Astyanax mexicanus: one gene and its partner. The protein of the gene in region 2 purifies or fractionates together with the protein of the main gene of each other region. This does not show direct contact. Links are inferred from orthologs where the notes say so. Each region holds a gene or a part of one and is shown on either strand. Other genes may lie near its edges. The genes, in order: dnajb4 and bag5.

What was found.
Region 1: the proteins of bag5 (region 2) and dnajb4 purify together in Homo sapiens (affinity purification with mass spectrometry; 4 studies listed by BioGRID and IntAct, with this or other methods). This does not show direct contact. The link is inferred for Astyanax mexicanus from reciprocal best matches to the Homo sapiens genes BAG5 and DNAJB4.

The regions. Positions count from the first base shown.
Region 1 is NC_064415.1:56,250,856-56,261,709, reverse strand, and holds dnajb4 (dnaJ homolog subfamily B member 4), read right to left. Parts: upstream 7,602-10,854; 5' UTR 7,339-7,601; coding exon 7,128-7,338; intron 4,877-7,127; coding exon 4,293-4,876; intron 1,808-4,292; coding exon 1,574-1,807; 3' UTR 1,326-1,573; downstream 1-1,325. UniProt on the Homo sapiens protein: Probable chaperone. Stimulates ATP hydrolysis and the folding of unfolded proteins mediated by HSPA1A/B (in vitro).
Region 2 is NC_064414.1:30,076,122-30,086,975, reverse strand, and holds the start of bag5 (BAG family molecular chaperone regulator 5), read right to left. Parts: upstream 6,407-10,854; 5' UTR 6,069-6,406; coding exon 6,037-6,068; intron 2,186-6,036; exon of another isoform or gene 2,058-2,185; intron 1,632-2,057; coding exon 1,355-1,631; intron 1-1,354. Other genes in the region: cytochrome c oxidase assembly factor 8, read left to right, coding at 9,147-9,257. UniProt on the Homo sapiens protein: Co-chaperone for HSP/HSP70 proteins. It functions as a nucleotide-exchange factor promoting the release of ADP from HSP70, thereby activating HSP70-mediated protein refolding.

The DNA of each region.
Region 1 (10,854 bases), on a different chromosome or scaffold from region 2:
GCTCAACTCTTTGGCTCTTTCTTTTTGGGTTTTGTAAAACCTACAATTAAACTAAACACAATCTGCAGTAGCGCTAACAAATAAGGGTACAGCAAATTATGTAATTATATGTTATTTCATCATTATAAATCACAAACACACAATTTCCAGCCTGATTAGTCCAACATTTCCTTGGCAGCTGGAGACAGAAGAGCAGGAACTGTATGTACACCAGGGAGCAGCTAAACCAGTGGCGTCCCCTGGTGGATGTTTGGATTTGGTAGACTACCTTCAGCAACATCTGGATCATCCCTTTCCAGCTGTTTTACATCCATTAGGTTTAAACTAAAATCTATACTCTATATGAATATAAGTATTATAACACCATGTCATCTGGTCATCATTGGTGTTGATCCACTGTGTTTTTGTATCAAGTCTAAAGTCAGTGCAGTTTTGTTTTCCCTCAGAATCTTACAGCACTTCATGCGGATTTCATTTTCCAGCAGGATTTGGCACACTGCCCACACTGCCAAAAGTACCAATTGGTCTCAGATAATATTACAATTTTCTGAGACTTATTTTTTTATTTTTTTTATTTTCTGTAAGCCACAATCATAGACAATCAAAAATAAAATAATTAAATGCTTAAAATAGATCACTCTGTGTGTAATACATTTATATAATATATACAAATTTCACATTTTGAACTGATTCACTGAAATAAGGCAATTTTTTAAATGATATTCTAATTTTTATAAATGCACTAGTATATTGTTTTTTGGAACTGGAACAGACTTCCATGGATATCTTTATAGGTCATGTTGTAGTTCCTAAAGCCTTAGGTTGTTGTCCTCATCATATGTCAGGCTCATAAAGGCTTTTAATTCCGTTTTAATTCCATTTTAATTCCCACCAGGCAGAATCTCAAGTCATCAGTTGTTTAAAAACGGATTAATTGATTATACAAGTGGTTGTTTAGGAAGAAAACCTGCAGCCACGTCAGCCCTTTGCACATAACATCAGACAGCCCTGCTCTGGAAAATTTTCTGAAGCAAAATGTAAATTAAAATCAGCCACAACACATTTTTCACAGTTTAAATGAAGCTGTAATACCCTTCACTGTATAAACACTCTTCAGGCAGCTCCTTCCAGAAGAAAGTGTTGCCATGTGTAGAAACACACACAAATGTGTTTGCTCTGTAAAACACATACAAATGTACAAATGTATTTTTTGACCACACTCAAAAAATGTAGTCAAGAGTCTTTCAGTTCTTTCCTTCTCCAAAAGTTCCTGTCAAAATGATTCGAGAAGAGATTGAGTAAATAAAACCATGGTGGGAAACAAGTCAAATTTCCACATTTACTTCTGATACATGGAGTTAGCACTTGTAGCACTTTTATGACCTTGTTTCAGCATGCAACAGAAAACAGACAATACTAAACCCTAAATAGATAAAAAAAAAATAGAGATTGCACATTCTGTATGGGGTGTAGCAGTGATTTGTCAATAAAGTTCAAGGACAGGTGGGGGAAAAAAAATAACAACAGTTTTCGGGACTTGAATGTCATTTCAGTCCGGTCCCTTTCTTTGATTTTACGAAGTGGGCAAGTGCCGTTTCAGGACGTCCTTGGCGTTAGTCGGCAGAGTGTCTGGAAAATTCACATCAAACTCCACTATGAGGTCTCCTCTTTGATCTGGGTTTTTAGGGAAGGGCAAACCCTGTCCAGCGATTGTCTTCCTCATGCCAGGTTTGATGACGTCAGTTATCTTTATGTTGCACGTTTTCCCATCTATCGTTGACACAGTAACGGAGCAGCCACACAACGACTGAAAAGAAAATGAAAAAATTATCAGTTGATTATTGACAAAGAAACACAAATTAAAAAGACTATCCTTAAGATATAGACGTGAAATAAACCCCACTTATCATTGCCTAAACACCAAAAACCAAATCTCTTATTGAACTGCACTAGTAGAAACAGCTGTAGGATTAGAGTACTGTCACACCAGCACTATTTGGTTTGGTTAAAACTGGTTCTGATTCTGGTTCGTTTGTTCCCTTAGTGTGGTTCATTTGAGCAGGTGTAAAAACAGTAATCACACTCGGGCGTGAATCAAAACCACCGGTTTAGTCACAAAGTCTGAAGCGGTTCTCTTGTGGTGAGAACTTGATCCAATCTCGATCCAACCCAGCTATTAAATATACTCCTTTTATTTAAGCTAAACTGCTGATAAGGCTTAGTTTAATCTGATATATTAGCCAAATAATGCTAATTACTGTGAACAAATGCTGTCTCTGCTGCTCCATGCTGTTTACGGTCTGTGTTGCGTTCACTGCTCGCAGCCGCACGACTCCAATTACTATGTATACATCTGTGCTGCACATCCCATTAAAAACACTATGTTTGAAAGTGTAGCAGCAAATTTTCAGCGTTTTGTGTTAAAGCCGCTTCACACTGCACAGATATACACACTGGAACACAGAATCTTCTCAATATATTTACTTTCTCGCTCCTGCTCCAGACAGCTCTGACCAATCAGAGGATAAGACGTGTTCCCTTAGTTTACAGGTGCACATTTTGGTGTGTTAAGTGTATGCCTGTGTGAAACCAAACCAAACAGAGGTACAAAGTCCAAATAAACAAATTTATGAACAGATCCAGACCATATAAACCAACTACAGGTGTAACAAAACGCCTTTAGTCTTAAAATTTACTTCAGAGAGAAATCGAATGAACAAGCCGGTGGATCGCTGTTATTCCTGTCTGGACTACAGAGTGTTGTACAATCTTGGGCAGCAGATTTCACATCTACTCTCAAGTCAGTGCACTTCTTATGTAATGTGAAGCATAAGCAGCGAGAGACGCATGTTAGATCAGCTGTTCGGTGGCTAAAGACAAGCATCCACCCCCTTAAATCTGTTCTTGGCTTACTAGTAGCTCCTTCTATGGCAGAATCAGTGGGAAGTGAAAGGCAGCGCTGTTGTGTTGTGCCTGGATTGTAAATGGCCTCAGTCAAATCGAGCCTGAGCTAACAAAAATAACAAAAATGCTTTCATTGACTTATGAAACCAACAACTTGATCAACAGCCAATGTACTATATGCTGTAGGCCTATAGTAGGAAGTGGTCTAGTCATTCTGTTACTGAATGAATCAGAAGTTTAAAAAATATTTAATATAGAGATTTAATGGAAGGCTCTAGCAGCTCCATTACAGGCTAAAAAATAGTCGCAACTAATCTGTAAATTATTTATTCCATTAGCCGATTAGCTCTTGCTCTTTTGCATGTTTGATGTTCTTTTGTGTGAATGTCACCCTGTTTCCCAGTCTCTAACACAAGTTCCCATAGCTAATTAAAATAGTGACACACCAAGCTGAGTGGGAACTAAGTGTGAACTGAGCAGCTCTAACTTGTCCCCCACTTTATTTCTGTTCCAAGCACTTTGTCAACAATATTTTATTATCACCATTGTCGATTATGTCGACCAATCGTTGCAGTTCTTTTGGCAAAAGAAACATGGAAAAAAACTAATCATTGCGGTTTCAGGCTTTCCTGTCCTTTATGATCAATCACCGCTGATTTACAGGGAATCAGCGTAATACAGCGTGGAGAAAAGCTGCAGAGAATGTTGGGTGGGTTTAGAAAATATTAACATATAGTTTAATTGAACAATATGAACCTATATGCTGCTCACTAGAAAGTGTTACGAAGCTCATTTGTACATTTATATTTATAAATATACATTTATATACTTATTCCTTGTATAAAACCAATTTGCATATATTAAAACAATTTAATTGGACAACGCAAGTCATTCAAAGTGTTTAAGATTTTTATGGTTGCCAATTTTTTCTGCTTTCAACCCATCAAATTCACTTGCTGCCCAGTACAGGAGCCACTGAAGTGTTTTAAAATTTATAGCTGATCTATGTGTCATAATAGTTAAAGACATAGTCATGCAACTTTTTTGGCCATCTATAATATATTATTTCCATTAATCTGAAGATATATTTATAGACACTGTTCATATATCAAGTTACAAAAAAGCGATCATGCCAGACCACTCAGTCAGTCTTCCTTTAGAAGCTTCACTCCCCAAATTCATGCATTGATACTGAAAAATTAACAACACTGGGCATGAAAAACAAAAGCAATAGGGCAAAATCCAGACTGTCTGCTGGCTGTGTAGAAATTTACAATAAGCCAATAAGTAGCTTGGGCAATGTTTTGATATCATAACTAATTTTTGACATTTATTTGCACTTTTGGGACCCCCACTCTTAAACTAAAGCCAGATCTGGACATCCTCACCTGCCGCAGACTGACGCGCACTGGGTAGACAATATCCGACCCCTCTCTCCTGAAGTGGGCGTGAGGCTTGTCCTTGATGACGAACACTATGTCAGCTGGGATGGTGTTGGGTGCTTCATCACCCTCTCGGGGGAATGTGATCTTTGTGCCTTCCTTCCAGCCACGCTTAATCTCGATGGTCAAGATCTTGTCCTCTGTCCTCATGGTGCGTCCATCTGGGTTCAGCCGCTTGCGTGAGATCTTCATTCGCTTGGTGCAGCCGTGAAAGACCTCCTCCAGGGACACTCTCAGCTCATGGTGAATGGCAGGGTCCTGCTTCCTGCTCCGCGGCTGCCCACCCAAGCCCACGGGCCGCTCGCCACGGGGGAAGCCGTTGATGTTAAAGCTGGTGAAGGAGCCGAACGGGTCGCTGCCGTCCACTTCCATGTCGTCGTCGTCCCTGCCGTTCACCTTCCTGCCGAAGAACATCTCGAACGGGTTGGCGCCGCCGAAGAAGGTGGCGAAAGTTGCGTGGGGGTCTCCATGAAAGGTGTAGGTGAAGTTGCTGCCTTGTCCATCAGTGGGGCCGCCACCACCTTTAAGACCTGGAAATCAGGAGATACATTGATTTTTTGGAAATTTCCACAGAACTAGATGGTTAGAATGTGAATTAATTATTTAATGTGGTTTGGTGTTCAACCCTTAAGAAAAGGTTTACTGTCTCAAAAGGTACATCAAATTACATCAGAATTTGCTATCTATTTTGCCGCCATCAACATTGCAAACGTTTACTGGTGAGTTTGTATGGTTAAAAAAAAAAAAAGTTCAATGGTCAGTACTGAAAAGTCCTATAGTGCTTTTACACCTAATTTTGAACCATTTACCACGTTTTAACCAACAAAAGAAGGTTCCTGAACCAGAATACTAGGTTCTTCATTGCAAATCGTGTTCATCGCCACTTTGCAACATCCTCTGTTTGTGACATTTTGATGATTCCACTAAAACTAGTGGAAACGCGTGCTGGTTCGCTGAAAAGCACCACAGTTCCTATAAGCCCAAACAGAGCTGGTTCAAGAACCAGAGTTCTTTTGGTGGAAAAGTGCTATGAGAGCTTCTCTACAATAAAAAACAAATCAATTACCCATCAAATCCACTATGAATTGTTTTAGATATCAATAACAGTATTACAGAAGATTGAATTCTGCTTTAAGCCAGCACCTTCAACCTGATTACACAAAAAGTGGAACTTGTGGCTCTATGTTCTGAGACATAAATTTGTTGATGCCCCCTTCCTGTCACTTCTAGAAGGCACATAACTGTTAAGCACACAGTGTACACCTCAAGATGGAGATTTTAGGACACTGTTTCATGCAATTGCTCCTCAGTGTCTCTGGAATCCCAACAAATAATGTAGTTATAGTTGCTTTCAGTGATAGATTTAGAAGGTAGTGAGGTACATCAATACTGATGGTACTGAATGTACCATTTCAGATATCTAGCTATTTGTCTTATACTGAGAGCACAAATAGCCCAAAATAAGCTATAATATGAAACATACTGTATATACATATATATAAGACAGGCTTTATAAAATAATTCTGAATAATTCTACACAGTATGTAGGCCATTCACTAGTCTGCATTCCTTCAGTGTTCTATTTGTATTCACCACTCATTACAGACTAATGGGTTGCAATTATGTCCTAAAACACTCAAGTAAGCGCTGTGCCAGATGTGATTTGACCACACAAACCATGACCACTATAGCTTGGGTTTATGACAACGTTTTTGTCCCAATATGGCTAATTATGTGGTCTCTTAGAGACGTGCTCACTGACGTTTTAGCAAAGGCAGGCTAGGAATGCTGCTACATTAGCTAAAATAGGGATAATCGTATATATTAAAGGTTTGGAAATGATTATATTAACGTTACATAGATATGGCACATTTTACTGCATCATGTCTTTTTAAGCTTGTTCTCTGTTCTAAGAAATTGAGAATCAGGGTGATGTCCCTTGTTTTAGGAATTTGTCTGTTCCACCTTAAATGTTGCAGCAGTTAAACACTGTTTTTAAATACTGTGGTCTGACAATGATGAAATGAAACATACATGCTATGATATGTTTGTATTGCCTCATGTCATCTCTGACAATATTAAAATCAGGGTGAATTTGGCTGTTTTAGGAATTAGGTCGTTCCACCTTAAGTGGTGCAGCAGCTTCGCCAGCTAATAAAGGCCTGACAGTAATTAAGTTATATTAAACTAATGCGGCACAAATAACATCGTTGTATCTTTACCTGCTCTGTAAATGTGAGAATCAGGGAGAATTTGGCTTGTTTTATGAATTTGGGTGTTGTATGAATTTGACAGTCTACCTTAAAAGGTGCAGCAGTTAAAACACTGGATTTTAATACTTAACCAGCTAATACATATCTGACAATGTTTATATAAATTAGATTATTGCACATTATACTTATTTATATCTGTATCTGCTTTCACAATACAAGAATCAGGGTGAATTTGACTGTTTTATTAATTTCTCCGTTCCACCTTAAAAGGTACAGCGGTTAAAACACGGGATTTTAATCCTTAACCAGCTAATAAAGGACTGACACTGTTTGTATGAAGCAGATATGGCATATTGTACTTATTTATATCTGTACCTGCTTTGAAAATACTAGAATCAGGGTGAAGTTGTCTTGTTTTATGATTTTTTAAGGATTTGCCAGTCCACCTTAAACGCCGCATCAATGCCAGCGGTTACTGCTGCACCGTTAAGGTGGAACGGAGAAGTTCGTAAAAGACAAGCTGGCGAGCGAATAAGAAGCCGGAGAGGGAGAGATGTGATGTCCTTACCTTCCTCTCCGTGTTGGTCGTATATCTCTCGTTTTTTCGGGTCGCTCAGCACCTCGTAAGCCTCGGCTATCTCCTTAAATTTCTCGCTGGCGTTGGGCGCCTTGTTTTTATCGGGGTGCCATTTCAGAGCCTGTTTTCTGTACGCCTTTTTAATGTCCTCTTCTGCGGCTCCTTTCGAGATCCCCAGTATTTTGTAATAGTCTTTTCCCATGTTTTCAGCCTCCTGAGAGAAGACTGAGGCAGACTGAGACGGTTATCCTTTGGAAAAATAGGAAATAACCAGCATATGAACGTGTCAGTTATCCGCTGGAAGAGGTGGAGATGGTGGATAAGTGGAGATAGATGAGTGATGGCACGACGAAGGCAGCTCGTCCGGCTATATGGAGGCGGTTACTCGATGCTCTGGCTCGTGTTTTACTCTGTTTTTCTGCCTCTCTCCTTGGTTCCCTCTTTAAATAGCCATTCCGCCCTCCCTCGGTCCAATACTGCACCCCTAGAAACCGTGGGCTCTTTCTAGAAAAGCTAACGCCGAGCGGCACGTCATCCCCTACGTCCACACTCTCAAATTAGTGAAGATAAATGTACCAATAAATCAAGCCAGGAAACTCATATTTAGGTTATTTTTAGGATTTGTTTTGTTACAAGAAAGTGGCACGAAGAAAGTATCGGCCTAATAGTGTCTTATGTCCATTTTAAAACCATTTAATTTGGTCTTTCAGCTGTTTATTTGATGACCAAACCTAAAGAACAGGCCCGTTGCAACAGGGCAAGCAAACTAAACAGTCGCCCTATAGGGCCCTGAGCTGGCCTGGGGACCCCAATGGCTGGTTATGAACCCTAAACCATATGTTTTCCATCAATAGCTGTAATGTATTCTTTTGAAGTAATAAAACCATACTTAAATTTTTTTATAAACATTTTCTAACCTACACACATCACATCATATGGCATCATTTCTGCTGTGAACAAACATTTCGGGTTCCGTTACCTACTTTTCTTGGTGGAAACACGGCAAACAGCTTCAAAATTTGGTTTGTGAACCAGAACGGTCCTGATTCCACATCGGAGGAAAAGCACTATCAGAGGCACACTGCTGCTGCTGCAGCTCAGCCAATCAACTCTTGCTTCTGCCCCACCTCTAAACCCATACATCAGCCACTGCCTTGCCTAAACTACCCCTGTCATTTCTTTTAGACTTTTTAAAATTTGAGCTGAGGGTGGAGTCAGAAAATATCAGGGGTTTTAAAGCTTCTTTAAATTCTGTAATGGCCAATGCAGGGAAGTACAACAAGTGTGAGGGGGCCACTTCCACTAGTTGCTAGCAGTAGCCATTCAGTCAGGTTTATGATTCCTGTAGCCGGCTTAATTAAATGAACTGCCCAAAACAATTCTCAGCTCTTATACTCTCCTGGGGTGAGAGTTGTTATCATTCACCTCCTCACCCCTCCAAAAACGTCTGTTTATTTTGATTAATTGGCCATTATCTTAACTAAAAAAGCTAATTTGTCTTCACTCTGAGGGGAAAATGCTCAGTCACAAGCTTTGGAAGAACACCTCTATCAGATTCTGAAGAAAATATGTCATAATAAAAAAATTAAATGTTCTCATAGAGCTGAACATCTGGTTTTGATCTTGATAACAAAACACAAGGACAGCTTTCCCACAAGTTTCATGCTGTAATGGTCTACTAACATTCACAATTATTAACACAATTTCTTAATAATGGAAAGAACATTAAAATAGTCATGCTGTTCAACAAGCTTGTGTATAGTGGTCATGCTGGTCAGCTAGTCTGCCTGGTCATACTGCTGGTTGACTAGCTAGGTCAGGTTGGTTAAGCTGGTAGACCAGTTAAAATTGACCCTTAAATTCAAAAATAAAAATTGCCCATTGTTGATCATGAGCTAATCTAAATAACATCACCAACAAACTTGTGTTTGCAACAAATTAATCTCCAAATATTTAGTATTTAATGTATCAAAAGTATAAATATTTCACTAGTCAGTTATAGGGCTATATGTATCTATACATGACATTTTTAAACATTGATTATCCAGTTCCAATAGCACCTATAACGAATGGATATATTGGGCAGCCAGTGAATAGTCAGTTATGCAATTTTTCACACGTGCCAAATAGTGACATGTAAACAACAGAGCCAGAACATCTCTAAAACATCATGACGGATTTCAGGAGGTGTTAGTGGTACACTTTTTGAAGTTTTATGTCTCCCCAGGCAGCTTACAACCCATCGAAAACTCCAAAAAACAGTGGTTTTAGCCTGCTAGCTAGCTAACCAACGCTGTGGACCTAGGGGGCTTCTTGGCTTTCTGCGTCACTTAGCCGGAAACAAAGCTGCCACAGATGTAGGCTACTACAGATCATTCCCTATAAATAGCAAGTTAGATATCTGTGATATTAAAAGACAGAATCCCCCCACCAGCCCACCCTTCAGGGACGGAAAGTCCACTGAACTATCAGCACTATTAATACCCCTAATGGTGCTAAATAGAGCCAGTCAGTCTTTTACAGAGCTGTTCTTGGTTTGATGCTGTGGGGCTGTGTGATCAGTGCAGGTACTGGGAATCTTGTTAAAGTTGAGGGTCTCATGGATTCCAGTCAGTATAAGCAGATTCTTCAGAAAAATGTTGAAGAATCAGTGAGAAAGTTGAAGTTGAAGTTAAAGCGAAGAGCCGGGCCTGGATCCTTCAACAAGACAACGACCCTGAACACTAAACACACTGCTCAAAATCTACTAAAGCATTCATGCAGAGGAACAAGTACAATGAACTGGAGATGTTTTGAATGTTTTGTAAAGAAGAATGATCCAAAATACCTTAAACCAGAAGCCAGACTCTCATTGGAAGCTATAGGAAGCTTTTAAAGGCTGTTATATTTCTTCAAAAGGAGGATCTACTAAATATTGTAAAATATGTCACTTTTCTGTCTGGGTTCCCTAAATTATGTGCCTGCCTAATTTTGTTTAAATAATTAATAATCCTATAAACTTCATTTGAATTATCGAAATACATCACTGTGTTCATCTGCTGTATGATATATTTAACTGAAATTGCTGATCCTAACAACCAATGATTTATAAAGGAAAATCATAAAAAAGGATCAGGGGTGCCCAAACTTTTTTTAATACCACTGTACTTCCCTGCATTGACAGCTAATTGAAAGCTAATTTAAAGTTTATCTTAGCAGTAAATTCATTGGCTGGTGGGCCCCAGGCTTGCTCGGGTCACAAGCCAATTGGTTGGTTTGGTTTTCTTGTTGCAACAGGCCTGGGACATTAATTTAATAATGATATGTTTATGGGCACATATTTGGAATAGTGTTGCTTTACATGATCTATTCAGTGGGACTCTTCAGTAGGTGGAGCTGATAAAGTAAAAGTGAGTATAGGGTAGGTGTTTTTAAAGTGTATGGTGAGTCATTTTACAAGTCTCCTCCTGCCTCCTCTTAAATCTGAATTATTTACTGTCAGCATATTTATATTGATCAGCAGTTGCCTGATCTTAAAGCATTAGATTCTCATATAGGTAAAATAGTGTTTTGCTTTAACAATAATAGATCTACAAGAATCTATAAGAATCTTTTGTACTTTGTAAGCTTGATCACTATTATTTAAATAATAAAAAAAAAAATAATTAATGCAACATAAACTTACATACATTTTATTAGACTATTATAAGCTTTTTTATAAGATTTTTGGCGGCGCCTG
Region 2 (10,854 bases):
TATGTAGAAGTTGTATGTAGGCTGTATGGTTTGAAGAATAAAGATTTGTTACCAATAAATTTGCGGTGTTTTTTTTTTTTTTTGGGGGGGGGGGGGGGGGGGGGAGTTGGGGTCTCACGGTTAACCGCAATATCGCGGTGATGCGTTAGTTTTTTACCGCGGTTATAAAAAATCAATACCGCCCCAGCCCTAGGACTATAACCATAAATAGTAGTCTAGCTTTTTAGCTGCACAATATGCTAGCTCCCATTTTACCCCATTTACCAATGGTCTGGACACCACAGGACCAGCACTGATCAGCTACTATTTGCATGGAGCACTCTCAGCACTGCAGTGACATGATGAGTGGGTGTTCTGTTGGTACAAGTGGATCAGACGCACCATACTCTCCATTCTATAGGACTTTGCTGCTTTGTTGGTCCACCTTGCAGATACAGTTAGAGACCACAGCTCATCTGTTGCTACACAGTTTGTGTTAGTCATCCTTTGATACCTCATCAGCGGTCAGCTACTGGCAACAAAACGTTTGGCTGGATATTTTTGATTTGGCAGTCTATCCTCAAACTGCAGTGACTTTGAGCCGTTTCCTCTAGTGCTCAGACACTGCTGCTGCTGTGTGTGAAATTTTCTGTGCAGCATACATGCCAATGAATATTGTCTCTGCAGAGAATGCTTCATGAAGCATATACACCTGCCCAGTGGTGGTCCTGAGTATCGCTGAATAGGGAAAAGGTCAGCTAGCAACAAAAAAAACAAAAAAAACAGGTGTACTTCAATCAATCGTAGAACCACAATAGAGAATGGCAAACAGGAAAGTGTAGACAAAAAGCAGGTGTGCCTAATACAGAGGTCAGTGGGGGTGTATGTTAGAATTATTAAATGCAATCCTACAACTGGAGCCATATCTTGACGTTTGGCAATACAGCAAAATACTTTACAACCCTACTCCATGAACATTACCACCCCAACTGTTAAGCATGGTGGTGTTAGCATCAGGCTCTGGAACTGGCACATTTCACAAAATTGATGGATTCATTAATGCCAGCACTAAGCTACTGGATTGGCATTCCTAAGTAAAAGGTGAGCAATATATTTACTCTTGACCTAATATATAATTATTATATATTAGGATATATTAGGATTAGGATTATGGATTTCAGAGCTTGTAAAAGAACTAAAGAAACTGGATTTTTTTTCAGTGCGCATTATATCTACACCTGTAGAAGTAACAACTGATGTATTATCGACTGCTATTCCAAATCTGGACCCATACAAATGATTATCTTCCCATTTCTTCATACACCAATGCATTACACACCCCTACTCCATGAACATTACCATCTCGGCTCCTGACCTGATCGACCTCCATTTGAAGCCTTGTCAGCTCTCGTTCCAGCCGCTTGTAATCTCTGTCGCTCTGCAGGCCACTGAAGGAACACACTTGCGGACCCAGTGCGGCCACCTCCCTTTGAAGCTCGTCTATCCGCGCCAGGGTGGGGTGCTGCCCAGGATATGGGCCCTGGGGCCCGGCGAATGCCTGGAATGGCCCCGGCATCTGCTGAGTCTGCTGCTGCTGCTGATTGCCATGATCCATTGTCCTCTTCCCACCATCAAAGGGCTTCCCAAAAAGGCTGAGAGGGAGAAGAACAGGAGAGAGTGAGTGTAGAAATTAGGGGTATTGGGGTAGAATTATTGGGATAGGAAGTTAAGATGAGTAATAGTAGGACACAGAGAAAAACTTTTGCAGAACTTTTCTCTGGGTGTTTTCTGTTTTTTATTTAGTCTAAACCAAAATAATAGGTGTGAAAGATGTTTGTGTGAACCATGATTTGCACCAACAGACCAAAATTTGATATGACCAATAGAAGTGGTCAGGCTATCTTCAATCCTTGGAACAACAGACGAAGAAAAAAAGAACCAGTTCTATTCCGAAATACCCTTAATGTGCTTAAGCATCACGCAGCAGTATGGGAGCAACTGCTTATGCATGTGATTCTCATAGTTACTGTAGATTAATCCTTGTTTATAACTAGAAGTAAAATAAATATGAGGGTAACCTGTTACACTCATTCTGCACACGAAGGGAGTCATACACTGGCAGGAAAGAAGAATTCGGCTCAACCCCTTGGAGAGAAAACTCACTGATTTGACAGACATCTTCCTACAAACCAGTCTCAACTATAGGGAGACACAGGGTACATAAGTGAAGACACAAGATGTAGCAAAGTGCAGGATTAAACAAAATAAAAAAAAATCATAAAAAAAAAAAAACTGTTGTCTTAAGCTAGAAATATTTTGCTTTGTAAAACACCCCCCAAATCTTATCCCACAGCAACAACAAACCTTAACATGGATTTAAAGGGGTATAATTAGGACACGGTTATAAAAGCTTTGTTGCGTGTATCTGGATTCTGATCAGCAATGCCAACATAACTTGTTTTCCCACACTGTCAGGCTCTCCACCCATTGCAAGCATAAGAACCAGCGTATAAAGCCTCATATGCTATACTAGATTATCTATTGAAAAGAAGCCACTCTTATTCTGTGTAATTAAACAACCTTTGTAAAAAAAAAAAAAAAAGAACAGTCTGACAAGAGCTGCAACTGGACCAATAATTAAAAGCTGGTATTTACGGAACAAAAATCAGAGGGCTCTGTGCCTGGCTCCAGCACCACAACAGCTACCCAGGCTTTGATCCACAGCCTGCTCTGGCCGTAAGTTAAATTAATGAACCCATCGCACAGTGTGGGCGCATGTATGACAGAACCAGTCGGGTTAAAACATCCTTACCAGGACCACTGGTCATTAATTACTCTCAGCACAACATGCATGCAGAATGAAGCAAGTGCCCTACCTCAATAAAGTCATGACTATTTCAGCTTGTGGAAGTGGAAAGAACTTCCTTTGACCAAAGACCAAATATCCCCATAACTGTGTGATTCTGCTTGTTGCCTGCAGTGAATTCACAATGTCATATTACACATATCATAGCAGCAGTACTCACAAGCCCAACTGCAGCAGAGATATCCAGTAAGAAATGAAATGCCCTCAAAATCCAAGTACACAAAGAAAGCACACAAGCAAGACCTGTCTTGTCTGCTCACTCACTGCAGTTTTAGAGTCCTTGGAAAACATTTTATTGGCCACGGAGGGCTGCGGCTATTCCACAGAGATGTGCTTGTGAGGTCACAACAGACAGGTCATGCTCTCGACTCTTAAAGTGACAGTATGTGTTTGTACCCTGATCTTCTACAAGACATGTCCTTACATATTGCTAGTAGTAGAAGAATGTTTGTTAGAATGTTAGAATGGTGGAAATAGATAAATATATGTAAGCTGCAACATAAAACACCTGTATTACCACTTCTGACATTTGAATCTGGCAAATTTTTATTACACTTATATGAGAAACAGACCAATAGAAATGCTATAAAATGCCTGAAATCACCTAATTTAAACTGACAAGTTTTTTTTCACTTTCTTCTGTTAAAACGGTTGCTGTTTTGGAGATACAAGTGTTAACAGCACAACAGTGACAATATACAATATTTCAGCGGTTCTGGTGGTACGACCAGTGGTATGGCAAAGCATTCCAAGGTTGTACACAAATTTATAGAGAATTAATCTGTATTTTTCATTATTTTGGACTTGGACTTTGAAATTGATACACCCTGTGTGTAAGCCCACACGTCTTTCTTTACTCTCATAACTACAGTACTAATTAATTATTAACATCGGTTTCATGGGCCCTACAGTTGAACCCTGTGGAACTCAATAATTTCCAGTCTAATTAACCTAGGGTTCACGAGGATGCCATGTAGACACTGTAGTTCATTACATTGTCTCGCACTCCTGCTATTTCCTCAGAGCTGTATCAGCAGGCATACTGCATTGACCATCAACAATATGCAATTGGCCAATTACTGGTACAGATATGGACAGACCACACACATTAGCCACAGTAGGTGGTACTTGGAAGTTTGCTCATGAATTTGCCTTACACCATAATATTTAAAAAGTAATGTACCTCCATATGATTCAATCACAAATTCAATCATTCTCTTTTGATATGCAGCAGAACTGGGAATATTTTCTTTCAGTGGAGTGGCCCTTTAGGGGTTAATAGTCTACTTGTCTTATATGCTTATATAACCAGGTGAAGAGAAATTCCTTCATGTGGAAGAATGCTGCTCATCCCACGGTCATTCGCTGTGCTTTTGGCAGTGACCGTGAAAAAGGATAAAGCAGACATACACACGAACATTCACTGTGTGGGGGCATAAATACATTCACCTCTGGATTTACTTACATGGTATTTTCGGTGGACTTGAACTAACCTGAAACAGCACGACTGTTTTAAAATCCCTTTATGGGATGTCCAGTAGATGTAGCTCTGTTTGAATGTGCTAGCTGTTATAGTTATAATAGCTTCTGTGTGTCCATAAATGCTATGAATATTTGCCATTGTTTATGGCTGTCTGTGCTTTTACATTATTAACACCTTAACAGGCCAGGATTTTTGTCAATGGTCTGCCTGACATTACACTAACATTTTTAATTCAAGCATTAAATAAAAAGCTTTAATGTTTGATAAGGAACATGACTGAAAATCATAATTGTAATTGTAATAGAAAATATATTTAAAAAATTAAGTAAATCTGCTGATGTCAAAATATAATAAATAAAATCAGAAAATCTTCCTTGAACTTAATTTTAAAATCGTATTTTAAATTTTAAACTTAATTTTCCTGAATACCAATCAAATAGTTAATGTCCTTTCCTTTCGTTATGTTTGTACAGTTTTTACAGAATTTGGGTTGATTCCTGTTACTAATCTGGAATTATTAAGTGGAGTAGAGGGTGAACAGGCAGCTTCTCCAAGTGTCCTTTAGGAGATTTCAGAATATGAATAACTTATTTTACTGCAGAAAAAAGGGTTTTGTATCACCTACACCTGTAGCCAATATACAGGACAAATATTTTAAGGGGTTAACCTATTTGCATGAGAATGTGAAAGAAAACAGATGGCAGCTGTGAAGACACATACCAACACCTTCAGCCAGATTTGATTTGAGGTGTGAAATAGAACATCAATTTTTAAGTGTGTGTGCCGGACCTGAATGTGGTCAGGAACGGCTGCTCAACCTGCTGCTGCCTAAACAGCTGTCCTCGTTCACTTGTTTAGTAGAAGATGCCCTGATTACGCTTGCTGTCATGGGTCTGCTCCAGGATTCTGATTATGAAGTCCCTAGTGAGCCTGGGCACAACACGAAAGCTCTGGATTATGGGTTAGGGTGGGGCGAGGGCGCCCAAATGCCATCCATGCCTAAACCTATTAGTCAGCGCAGGAAAGAACATGATGCTGGATACATCAGGACCAAACATCTGGGGAATCTGCTGAGAATGTGGTGAACATCTGGTACACAAGCCAATTAAAGTGTCTGAAACTGTGACATTAAGGGTCTGTGAACGAACATCTTTGGTGACCATTTACTGCCAGTGTGGCTGTGTGTCAATGATTTCACCCTGTCTCTAGCTGAGGTAATGTAAAGGATCCCCCTTTCTGGAACAGTCCATCTAACCTAGCTCGTTAGCTAACAGATGCATGAGGATGGGGAAGACTAGGTCAGTAACTCAGATGTTGATAAAGAAAAGGCTAGTTAACTAGCCACCTAGTTGAGAGAATTAAAATACTGTCAGCACTTCAGGCCACTATTTGCATAACGTCTTCCTTATCTTTTTGGTTCACACGTGGAGAAAGACAGAGAGGCTGATCCGCATTCATGCACCTCAGCACTGTTAGCCAGCGAGCTACATACCTACCCAACTACCTACGCCCACCAAAAGAGCCAGCCCTGAGCATAGCGCACGCTCATTTATTACAGCTAGCAGAAACGCCACGTTTTGCCGGTAATAGGCAATAAAACGAGAAATTATAAGCACGAGCGCTCGAGTCCGTGGCTCCACACACCAACACCAGCATTACCTCCTCTCCACCACCACCTCCTCCTTGCGCAGAAAAGCCTATTTCTCACCTCTTCAACACGCCGAAGACGTTCGCGCACATTATGTCTGAAGAGGCTCGTTTCCATAAGCCGTGCTGCTAAACTGCTGGACGCCTTGAGAGACTTCAGTACTTCAGCGATCGATGGCACGCTGAGTGTGTACAGTGCAGCGGCTCTGTATTCGGGGGCTTTTTAGGCTGTAGATTTGCGTTTAGTCGAGCTAAGCTGCATTGGCGCCCCTCCCATCCCATCCCACCCCACGCAGCCCAGGCGCAGATAGACAGACCGGGGGAACCAATTCAGAGAGCAGGAGGGAGCTGCTGCTGCTGGAGCTGCTGGGATATTACACACTCCACACACACACACACACACACACACACACACACACACACACACACACACACACACATACAGATGTATCTACAGTAGACACGACTATATATTAATATAACTCACGCTATTGCCCTCAAAACGTGACACACTTCAGAACAAGATACCACCAGTTTCCAGCCCTCTAAAGCCCCGCCCTTTTTGGTCTTCAAAACATCATAATCTGGTTCTTCCAGAAGACTATTTACCTTGGTTAGATGGTTTAATCTTTTATACACATGAATGTCAGTCACTAGCTTTAGGTCTGAGTGCTAGCTAGTTAGCTATAGATATCTTGTCAAAGCATTTTAGCTAACCTAACTGGGTTAGTTACCATGGTGTGTATATCTATCTCAAGGTAAAGCTGCCTAGCTAGCTAGTTACATAATACAGCTGGTAGGTCGGATTAAAAAAAACACCATTACATCTAAAAATGTATAGATGGGTTAACGTTACTTATGTTAGCTAGCTAGTTATAGTGATTTGGGCCATATGTGTTATATCAGTTTAAATGTAATGTAACATTAGCTAGGTTATCTATCCTAGGTTATATCAGTTTACATTTTATGTAGCTAGGTTATCTAGCCTAGGTTATATCAACTTAAATTTAATGTAGCTAGGTTATCTATCCTAGGTTATATCAGTTTTAATTTAATGTAGCTAATAGGTTGTGTATCCTAGGTTATATCAGACTTCATTTAATGTAGCTAGGTTACCTATCCTAGGTTATATAATTTAAATGTAATGTAAGTTAGCTAATAGGTTATGTATCCTAGTTTATATCAGTTTTAATTTAATGTAGCTAGGTTATATATCCTAGGTTATCCGTTTAAAAATGTAATGGAGCTAGGTTATATTAGTTTAAATTTAATCTAACTAATAGGTTATGTATCATGTGTTATATTAGATTTAATTTATTTACCTAGGTGTTGTATCCTAGGTTATAACTGTTATCAGTTTAAATTTAATGTAGTTAGCTGGGTTAGCTAACCTAAGCTAACTAGCTCAGCTAATTGATGTGATAAGAAGTTGATTTTATTTGACTTCTGGTTACACTTTAAAACTCTCAAACAAACAATAACAGAAAACTCACATTGTATAATCCGCCTTAGTAAAACAGAATTATCACGAAAAACACGTAAACAAATGTGTTTCAGCGCATGTGCAGAACCGCCCAGTATTACACAGCTTCGGGAAGCTGTATTTGACAGAACACCTTGATGCAAGTACACAGCCAAGATAGCTAAACGTTAACCTACATTACTCAGTTAACCACACCTATAAATATAGGATTAAAAATCTGTCTGTTTACTGCAGCTAGCTTGAAGGACTAGCTAGCTAACGGTAGCCTCGACCTTATATAAAATAATCCGCTTGGACTGAGAGATGCTCAATCCTTTGTGTGTCTCTCTCTCCCTGATACACACAACAAGAACAAGGTTAGGCGATGAGGAGCTCAAATTAGCACACAACAAGCTACAGACCAGCCTGTGTATAAAACCAGCCAGTCCTGTAAACAACAGACCCCTCACTTAATAACTAACGTTACATCTCAATAATTCAGCTTTAGCAAACTACCCACCTGCATAACCAGCGCACAGCCATCGGGACATCAGTGTGTGAGAGAAACAAGCCCAACGGGACCAGCCGGCTAACTCCCACCAATGACCAGCGGGGACAAAAACACCCGGATAGAAGATAGCGCTGTAGCTAACAGACAGCGAGCCCGAGTTTAGTCCATCGCTGTATTCAGAATGTATTCCACTGTTTAACGACAATTAGACATTTATATCTTCTGATTTTATGTCTCGTTTTTACTTTTTTTTTAATTGTTGATTTCTCTCAGACTTCAATACAACCTTGGGTAGCTAGCTAGCTAACTAAAAGTCTATAGCTACTCCACTGTTTGGTCACTACAGTCTTTTAGCTTCCTAACGTGGTGGTAATAATATATACATTTATATTTTTACAATATGGAGACTTAATATGTTCAGGTGTTAAGAGTTATCGTATTTTAAATTCAGTGAAACGTCTCGGTCGTCCAGTTCAATCACAACAGGAAAAGAGCGGAACCTCCTCCCGGAGATGAAGTGTGAAGTCGGGCACAAATAAAAAAAAAGTCTTTAATTGAGAGACAGAATAATACATTTATTATTATTATTATTATTATTATTATTATTATTATTATTATTATTATTATTATTAATAATACCATATATAATACATATAATATTGTTATTTTTAAAGTGAAATTATTAATATATAATTGTGCTAAAAAACATTACGTAAATACATAAAAGCGGACATTTTTAGGCAAAAAATAATTGTGTAAACGTTCACTGAATACAATTAAACAAAATTATTGGAAATAAAATGTAAATAAATAAGTAAACATTAGGTGATGGTAAATGAACACTAGAGTGATAAATTCATCATCTTCAGCTTTTAAAGAAGTAGTGTAAAATGTGGGGGTGTATCTACTTTTAAGTATTGTGAGGTTTAACCAAAAACATATTTGCTTACATGAGGTTTATTTTTTTATTATTATTATTTTTATTTCTTGGATGTATATATCACTGGCGCAGTGAGCTACGAATTTGGGGTGACTTTTACTTTGAAAGTTGGGTAATGTACCTTTTTTCTCCCCTCATATTGTGGCTGCGCGCTCTGCTGTGCCGACACGAGAGTAGTGTGTAGCTAAGGTCACCCTGTGTGTGTAAGGTCTGATAATAGACGGATATTTAGTAGATATGGAATAGGATTAACTAAAAATGAATACACGAGCTGTGGGCAGTTTGTTTTTCAGGTCTCAGCGTTATGCTTCTGGTGTCCTAAAGATAAGGCACCACTGCGCGGGCCAGCCACAGGATGAGCTAGCAGAGGTGTGTATCTGTCGAGCTAACATGATCCCCTGTCAGCAGCTTTTACGTCTGTTAATATTGTCAGGCAACTTTAGAGCTGGACAATATATCTATATTGTATCGTGTCGACATTTGTCGAAATTTCCGGATTCTGTTTAGCTGGTTGATGTGCAGCAAACATTAAAAATAATCAATGTACAGTGTAGCATTTAAATAGCAGATTCTGCCTCTGCTGATGCATTTTGTCTGAGTGTCAAAATATTATAAATACTATGTATTATAAAAAATGTTTTTAAATACTCTTATATTAATTTTCTTACAATATCTTAATCAGTGCATGATCACCTAGATTAAGGTGGTGGCTTTTATATTGTTAATATTGATGATAGAATTGAACCCTATGAAAATTAAGAAATGTATTGTGATATAGATTTTTGCCATATCCTTCAGCCCCAGGCAGCATTAAAGACAAAAACATAAATGTTAAGGGACATTTTGTTTATGTTTGTTTATGTTTGTTTATATCTTATCCTCTTTGTTATAGTACCATCACCTGAGCATATCTTGCGCTAAAATATAATGAACCTTTAAACAATCTGTTCTCATACATTATGAATATGCTCAAATGGTAAATAAGTAACTATACAAATAAAAATTAAACCTACAACCACCGTTCCAAAAAAAAATTGGATGCTGTGTAAAATTAAAGTTAATAGAAAAAATAAAAAATTAAAAAATTATTAAAGTTAATAGAACTGAACGCAGTGATGTGCAAACTTCATAGACCCACATTTTATTCCCAATAGAGCACATAATATATAAGATGTTGACAGTGAGAAACGAGGAATTTGAACTTGAGATTTGGGCAACAGAAGACTGGAAAAAAACAAGCTAGATGAGTTAGTTATTCGCAAGTAACTCACATGACAGGGGAACAACAAGACTATTTCAGGCCAGGCTGAATATTTTGCTAAAACTGACTTTGGATATCCCACCATCTACATAATATCATCAAAAGATTTAGAGAATCTGGAGAACTCCATGTGTGCAAGGAACAAGGCAGACGTTAAGGTTTAGATGCTCATGATCTTTGCACCCTTAAAAAAGCAAAACAACAGGCGTGATTCCAAACTAGAAAAAACTACATGGGCTCAGAAACGCTTTACAGTAATCACTGTCTGTAAACACAAACTGAATCATGCAAAAAAAGAGACACCATTCAAAAATGTCACCATCTATTCTGGGCCAAATTAAAAGCTGCTCTGTCATCAGATAAATCAAAATCTTTTTTTTTTTTTTTTTTTTTGAAAACCAAGGATGTCATGTCCTGCGGACTCAAGAGTTTAGGGACCATCCAGGTTGATATATCAGCACACAGTTCAAAAGCCTACATCTCTACAAAGTCACAACAGCATGCTTCATAGAAGAAAAGGCTCTTAGATCTGCTGTCCAGACACTTCACCAATAGAAAACATTTGGTATATTTTAAAACAAAAAATCAAGAATTCTCCACCAGACAAAAATCGGACATTTCCCACAACTGCTCTCCCAAAAATGTGGGTCTATGAGATTGCATTCTGTTTTTGTTTACATTTTAAGTGGCTCCAGCTTTGCACAA